2 linked regions of the Caenorhabditis elegans genome follow. The protein of the gene in region 2 purifies or fractionates together with the protein of the main gene of each other region. This does not show direct contact. Each region holds a gene or a part of one and is shown on either strand. Other genes may lie near its edges.

Region 1 (3,759 bases), on a different chromosome or scaffold from region 2:
ACTTTAGACACTTGGTTTCTTACAAGGGAATCTTCACAGCTTACATGAACGAGAACTAAAACCATTGAAATCAGTGATAAATCGATAAAGTGTAATACACAAATAATAGTTCCAGAGATATGACCTGACGGAACAAAATCTCCAAATCCAATAGTTGAAAATGTACTGAAAGAAAAGTACAAGGCATCATAGAATACAAACTCCTCATAGACAGCAATTGCAAGTGCTCCGAAGCCCCAAAATGTGACAAGAAGAATAAAAGCTTTCAGTACTGTCATCTTATACTTTGCCGACTTTTTGCCACTGAAAACTAAATAATGAACTCAAATAAAGATTTTATATGGAAAGTTGAGAAGAGGTTATTTATGTTTAAATGTTAAATTACCATTTTCGAACGCAAATTGCAAAAATTTTGAGTGTCAAATTGCATATTTTCAACGTTATTTTTCCATTGTTGCGAAGTACGTAGAGTGTTAGAGCAATTCCTATAATACCATAAGCTACAGTAACCAATTTACCGGCAATTGTGTGACAGACAAGTTCGCCGTACCCTGAAATAGAAAATAGAATGATTAGACGACACCTCGGGAGAAAATTTTAAAAATATTTTTCAAAATGTTCGAAATCAGTTTTGATACTATTTTACTTGTTAATCCCGAGTCATACCTATTGTCGTAATACAAGTGATTACATAAGCCAGCCCATCCAGAAACTCTTCTATATGCTTTGGAGGGTTTGAAGCGTAGAGTAGGTCAAAAATTTCTTTTATACAATTGTTGTTCAACTCATTATCTGCCTGAAATAGATGAAAATTGTATCGAGGCGTTTTCCGGGTATGCTCAATTGAAAGAGATGCAGAAATACTTTCACAAACCTTTTTCAATTTTCCACACTTGCTACCTTTCATTGAATTGTAGATGTGTATTGATTTCTGACGAATATTTCTTTTGAACTCATTAATCTGAAAATATTATCAATGAATATATATCTGCAACAGAAACAAAAGCTTTACAAACATTCATATCAGATCTCGATTCAATCTGCCAAAACAAGAGAGCTCCACCAATTATATATGCAACAAGAACCACAAATGCAATTATTGTATTAAATTCTGAAATTTGAAACATTACTTTAAGCAGAATATAAACCAAATCCTCACTTCGAATCTTTCTCAAAATTGTTCGTAATTTCGTTGGCTTCGGTCTTTCCGCTCTAGACTTTCGTTCAACAAATTTTAAAATAGATTGCTTTCTGACAAGATGTTGAGTTTCTGGTGAAGATTTTTCCATTTGCCTCTTTATAAATTTATTAATAAGTCGATCCGTGTGAGTTTGCATTCCATCGCTGAAAGACTATTGCAGTTTGGATTGACAGTGGTGAAGCAGTGGGTATTGTTTGAGAAGATTTGACAGCTATTCTGTCGTCTTTATATTTTCCTGGTGTAGATAATACAGAAACTCGACATTTTGCTTCAGCTTTTTCTCGCACATTGTCGCACATCTTTGCGGGTTACCCCTAGTTTCGAATTTTCCGCGCATTTCTTCGCATGCTATCGTAGATCGTCGCAGATTTTCGCGATTTCCCAGCTTTCAATCGCACGGAGCGAAATGTCGAGCATGTGGGTTACAAACTAATTTTCTTCTGTGGATTGTAGTTATACTCACCTATTAGAAGTGTGATGGTTAGAGCTGTGTGATTTTTGATTTGAAGGTATTGAATCTGAACTGAAAAATGTAGTTTTTTTTAGATGAAAACAATGATTCTGCAAACCTCGATTGTCTTCTATTTGATGCTACCATTGGGACGATATTGACTCCAAAAATTAGAACTGACTTTTAAAAAATCGATTTTTAATAGTTTTGGCCATCTCAGAAAATATCACGTTTCTTGGTTATGGTGGTATTTAATAATTTTATAATTTTTAAAACTGTACGTAAACAATTTTTTCAAGAAACTTGGCGAGCTCAATGAGTTTGAAATTTTTTAAACAAATTTGGATATTTATTTTTGTATCTATTTGAGTGTATACGACAAATCTCATCTTGTGTTAAACAGTAACACATTGAAACAATAAAATATTTATACTCGAGATCGGTATTCAAAACGCCTCGGATCAAGTTAACATAATTCTTCAAATTGAGGCTCTGGAAGGGAAAGAAACTACGAAAACAAACAGTCTATGGTCATAGAAAGACCAAAGAAATTAACTACAGATGTTCATAAAAACATCTGCACTGGCATTGTAAGAGAAGAAAGGTTCATTAGGGTAAACTCGTTTGTACTTTATTGAATTTCCGATTGTCAAGAGAAGAATCCTTCTGGTGCTCCGCCCTTCTTCGACAGCATAACCGATTTGACAGCCTTCTCAAAGTCATCCGTTCCGACACATTTTCGTTGAGCACGAAGAGCCAGCATACCAGCTTCCGTGCAAACCGCCTTGATTTCAGCTCCACTAATGCTCTTCTCCTTTCCCAATACATTCTCATAGGTGACAGCTTTCTGAATCGTCATTCCAGAGGTGTGGATCTAAAAATAAAAATTATTTAAGAAATGTTGAATTGACTAACCGTGAAAATCTTTTGTCTAGTCTTCTCATCTGGTTTTGGTAACTCAATCTTTCTATCAATTCGTCCAGGACGGATAAGAGCGGGATCCAGCGAGTCGATTCTGTTCGTTGCCATGATAATTTTGACATCTCCACGGCTTTCAAACCCGTCCAATTGATTTAAGAGCTCAAGAAGAGTTCGTTGAACTTCTTGTTCTCCACGTGAAGAAGTATCAAATCTTTTCGTACCAACTGCATCAATTTCATCAATGAATACAATCGATGGAGCCTGTTCCTTTGCCATTTGGAAGATTTGACGAACAAGACGAGCACCTTCCCCACTTTGTTTCTGAACAAGATCGGATCCAGTTGCACGGATGAATGTTGCAGATGTTGAGTTTGCAACTGCTTTCGCCAAAAGCGTCTTTCCAGTTCCAGGTTCACCGTAAAGAATAACTCCTTTCGGAGCAGTGATTCCCATTTCTTCATAGTACTCTGGATGAGTAAGAGGAAGTTCCACAGACTCTTTCAGCTCTTGAATTTGACTCTCACATCCTCCAATGTCATCGAATGTCTCTTTTGGTGTCTTCTCAACTTTATGTCCCATCGCATTGCTGTCAATCTTGTCATCCAAAACTCCAACGATTGCACTTGGAACTGTTTTGAACATTCCACCAGCCTTCACCATGACGAGGGCATTCAGACGAAGCAAGTCCTTGTCGACGATCGAGAGAATTGGTACGTACCATTCACGTCTCGAACCTTCAACGACCACAACGGCATGCTTCTCATCATCGAAAAGCTCGTGGACACGAGCCAATGTGGTTGGAGTTCCTCGGAGACTTTGAACTAATTGCTGTTCACGACGTTTTTGGACAGCAAGAGGGCGACCATGACGGCTTGTTTGACGAGTGATGAACTCTTTCTGTAATGAAAACAACTGTTAACCATTTAACTGCAGTCATAGGATCCCTACGCAACTGACATAAACAAAACAAAATTCTCTACGTCTATCCTACTACTCCAACCCTACAACGATTTGAAGTTCGTGTAATGATGACGTCATAGATTGCAAACTACATTTACTACAAGCTATGGCTTTATGAAGTGTTAAAGACCTCGAGTTAGATAAATTCCGCATCTTTGCTCTCTAGGGATGAACTCTTTGCTTTCTAGGGATGAACTGATAATTTAGTTTTCACAAACCTCCAACT
Region 2 (3,759 bases):
TTCAGGGTGATTTTTTGCCCGAAATCGCGGAAAATGGTCCCAGAATACCAAATTTGATTTTTTAAAAATTTAAAACATTTTTCAATTTTATTAACTTTGCAGAAAATTTTGCATTTTCGGCTGTATTATTTTATATCTCTTTGTTTCATGATTTGTAACATAAGGAAACGTAAAAATTCGCAGAAACTCAAAAATTGGCCATAAAATCAATATTTTAACATTAATTAAAATTATCACTAGCGTTGTTTTAATGTGAACCACAAGAAAGAAGATCAGCAATTAATTAAACCGGAAAACCAAAAATGTCAAAACTAGGCCATTAATTTGAGCGGGAATTCAAAAATAATTCGGTCTTTTATAATTTTCAAATTAAAACTGTAAAAAATTACCCTTGAACGCCTCCGTAGCGTGTGGAGCTCTACACTTGTCCGGATGTAACTTCAACGCCAATTTTCGATATTCTTTACGAATATCATCATCGCTCGCCTTCTTGTCAATTTTAAGAATTTCGTAATAATCCTTGCAATGACGAATTCTCTCGACCAATTCTTTTTGTTCACTGGTATAATCAACGCCAAGTTTAGGTGTTCTTGATGCAGATCGTTGTTTTGGTTCTGGTTCTGTTTTTCCATTCTTTTTTACAGGACTTCTAGCTTTTCGATTCCTTAAGTTTGGGTCATCATAGTGATCGTCGTGAGCATAACTACGTTCTTCTGAAGCACGTGATGAAGATGTTTGGGAAGATGATGATGTGTTGTTTGTCATATCATCTATCTTTTTCGTTAGAACTGAAAATAGTGTTTTTTTTTAAAATTATTTTAATTAAATTTTCAGCGACTTTTTTCAAGATTTTTCAAAGTTTATCTATAACCTTTACAACTGTTGAGTAAGAACAAAACTCTCAAATTACATGTCTCACGTCTCAACGTTTCTTGCACAAAGGTTCCTGCTTTTTCTTATTTTTGATAGGCGTAGAGAGTGAAAGAAATCGTTTCTCTCACCAAGTGGGTTGTAATAAACGGGTCCTTCAATGATGTATCTTGTATCTCTTCGTAATGGTCATTTTGGTTTCACTTCGGTTTTTTTTGCCGAAGAAACGAAAAACAGACGTTTGTGTGAACGGAAATTGGAAATTGATTTCAATTTTTTTGCATGGAAAATTAAATAAACACAGATTTTTTCAGAATACGGGCATGTGCATCAACTTTCAAATCTTTCAAGTTACAGAGTTTGTGCAGAAATTTAAAGATGGAGCAGCGGAAAAGGGGAAAATACTCAAAACAGTCTGAAATTCGGAAATACCACAAAAAAGAAACGAAAAAAAGTGTGAAAGGATAAATCCATATTGGTTTTAGCGAAAATTGAAAAATCTAATTTTTAATAGTTAGATTTTTCATACTTTCGCGATTTTTTCGTTCTTGTTATTTTATATTTCTGATGTTCAGTCTATTTTTAGCATTTTAAAGCAAAATCTCACATTCACGCTGCTCTACATCTGAAAAGAAATCTTACATTCAATATTTTGACCAGGATCCAACTTTTTCGCCTTCAACAGCATTCTCCTTGCTTTATCGGTGTCACCAGACTAAAATACATAATTTATTAACTGAAATGCTGAACAATCACAAAACTCACTTTAATAGCCTCTCGAGCTTTATCCATACACAACAGTGATTCGCTTTTATTGGCGTCTGCTGTCATTTTTGGGCTGAACCAATAAAAATAGATTATTGACTGTTTCAGTTAACGAGAACAACAGAAAAGAGATCTCATGATAACGATAACGTTTAAAAATAAGAAGAAAACCAAGAACTTCGAACTAGATAGAATTAAAATTTAAAAACATTGGTTTAAATTGAATTTAAAATAGAAAGCTTTTGGAACCAATAATGAGCCATCGAAATGTCTGTTCCTAGTCTTGCAGAAAAAAGATATTTGTCCGAGAAGCGAGAGAGCATAAAAAGTGAAGTGTCGCAGAGAAACGAGCAGGCGAGTAGCCAACGTAGCCCAAGAAGCAGTGAGTGACTAACTTTCAATTATTGATCGGTGGCAGCTATTGCGGTGGAGCGTCATTGCTTATTTTTGTTTCTATTTATAAAATATATTTATTTCAAATTTAATAAATTTCGGGTGTTAAACACTTTGGGTTCATAAATTTCAGTCAGTGAAACGGATTAAAACTAATAATCATTTTTTCGCAAAGAACTTTGAGTAAAGAATTTGAAGCATTATATTAAAAACACATATTTCCTCCATGATGCAAAATTTTGGTTAAATTAAATAAGAAATTTCTGGATTAGAAATAAGAAAACGTGTCGCTAATTCTGCGAAAAAAATCGATAAAAGTTGCATGACGAAACTCGTTGCGAAACCCAAAAATAAATTCGGGTGCTGTACCTTTAAAGAAGTACCGTACCCCGAATTTTTGCGATCCTTTTTATTAATTTCCCTATTCACTTCTGGACGAAACTCTCTGCTGTCATTACAATTTTCAGATGAAACGACTTTGGAAAAAGGTTGGGTCTGGTGTGAAGAATGCGAATTATCTCAAAAAGTCTGTAGAAGAAGTAGCGAAAATTGAAAAAGGGGAAACAAAAGTAAGAGTACAAAAATAATTTTTAAAATATTAACTTAATAACTTCTAAATTTTCAGGTCGTCCCACCAAAATATCCAACTGAAAAATCACGAGAAGTTAGCGAAGAAATCAAAAAAGAATTAGCGATGAAAAATGAAAGTTTGGTGGAAAATATGAATAAAATGTACATCAAATCAACTGATCCAGTTGAAAGATGGACATCTACGAAGTGAGTTTAGTTTCAAATTGCATTTGATTTTTATAAAAATAAAATTCAGAGATCTTCCCACTCGTGAATCGGAATTTCTCCATCGGAATGATCCCATCTGGGAATATGGGTTCTACGAGCCGCCCGTTGAAAGAATTCCGAAAGATAAATTGATGTTCAAAGAAGCGCTAGAATATCTTCGATTCCGCCAAGAGCTACTTTCCGATTCAAGTTCACCAGCACAAAAGTAGAATTCATGTTTTTAATGATTAGTCTAAAACATTCATTCAGAAAGCAAGCCGCTGAATTTGTTGCTGATCATGTTGTTACTTCTCGTGTAAATGCAGAAACATTAGATGACATTTATGAATATTTTCGACCATTTGAGAGAAAGGATAAACAAAAAGTTGTTCGAATTAAATTTTTGAAAAATATTTTATTAGTTCAGGTTGTCAATCGTCATGCCCTTGCAGCTCTTCAAGATCATGTACAAGGAAATTCAGATGAAAGACGAATTTTAGACGAGGCAAAGGTAAGAACAATCGAATTGATCTTGAAAACTGAAAGAAATTAAAAGCTTCTAATTTTCAGGATGTCGGAAAAAAGATTCGCCATATCAGTAACAATACGAAATTCCTGGACGAATATCAACGAGTTAGTTCGCTTTTCCCAATAACCTCTTCATCTTAAAAATTATTACAATTTTTTTCAGCTCGAAGACGAAGAAAAGGATAAGGTCCGAGAAGCAATTGCCCAGCTACGCCAAGAAGAACATGAACGACTGAATAAACGTTTGGGTCAATTAGGAGAAATTGAGAAAACTGCACAAGAAGCTATGAAGAAGGCTGTAGAAGAGAAAAAGGAAAAATAGTCATCATAATTTGTATGAGTTATTGGTTTCTAGGTAGATTTAGTTGTTTTTATGTGTACCCACGGGTCGATTTTAAGTTGTTTTGCTTATGAAGTTACAAGTTT

What was found. Proteins that work in one complex are often made in the same cells at the same time.
Region 1: the proteins of dnj-1 (region 2) and twk-37 fractionate together in Caenorhabditis elegans (co-fractionation; one large-scale study listed by BioGRID). This does not show direct contact.

What each region holds. Positions count from the first base shown.
Region 1 is NC_003279.8:6,269,712-6,273,470, forward strand, and holds the start of twk-37 (Potassium channel domain-containing protein), read right to left. Parts: upstream 1,823-3,759; 5' UTR 1,800-1,822; coding exon 1,771-1,799; intron 1,725-1,770; coding exon 1,665-1,724; intron 1,345-1,664; coding exon 1,160-1,344; intron 1,112-1,159; coding exon 1,017-1,111; intron 962-1,016; coding exon 875-961; intron 797-874; coding exon 667-796; intron 552-666; coding exon 386-551; intron 304-385; coding exon 45-303; intron 1-44. Other genes in the region: C10G11.8 (AAA+ ATPase domain-containing protein), read right to left, coding at 2,302-2,526, 2,568-3,470, 3,752-3,759.
Region 2 is NC_003282.8:11,296,985-11,300,743, reverse strand, and holds the start of dnj-1 (DnaJ homolog subfamily B member 1), read right to left. Parts: upstream 1,709-3,759; 5' UTR 1,702-1,708; coding exon 1,636-1,701; intron 1,586-1,635; coding exon 1,513-1,585; intron 789-1,512; coding exon 390-788; intron 1-389. Other genes in the region: B0035.15 (uncharacterized protein), read left to right, coding at 2,496-2,597, 2,654-2,805, 2,855-3,031, 3,076-3,190, 3,233-3,316, 3,376-3,438, 3,497-3,655.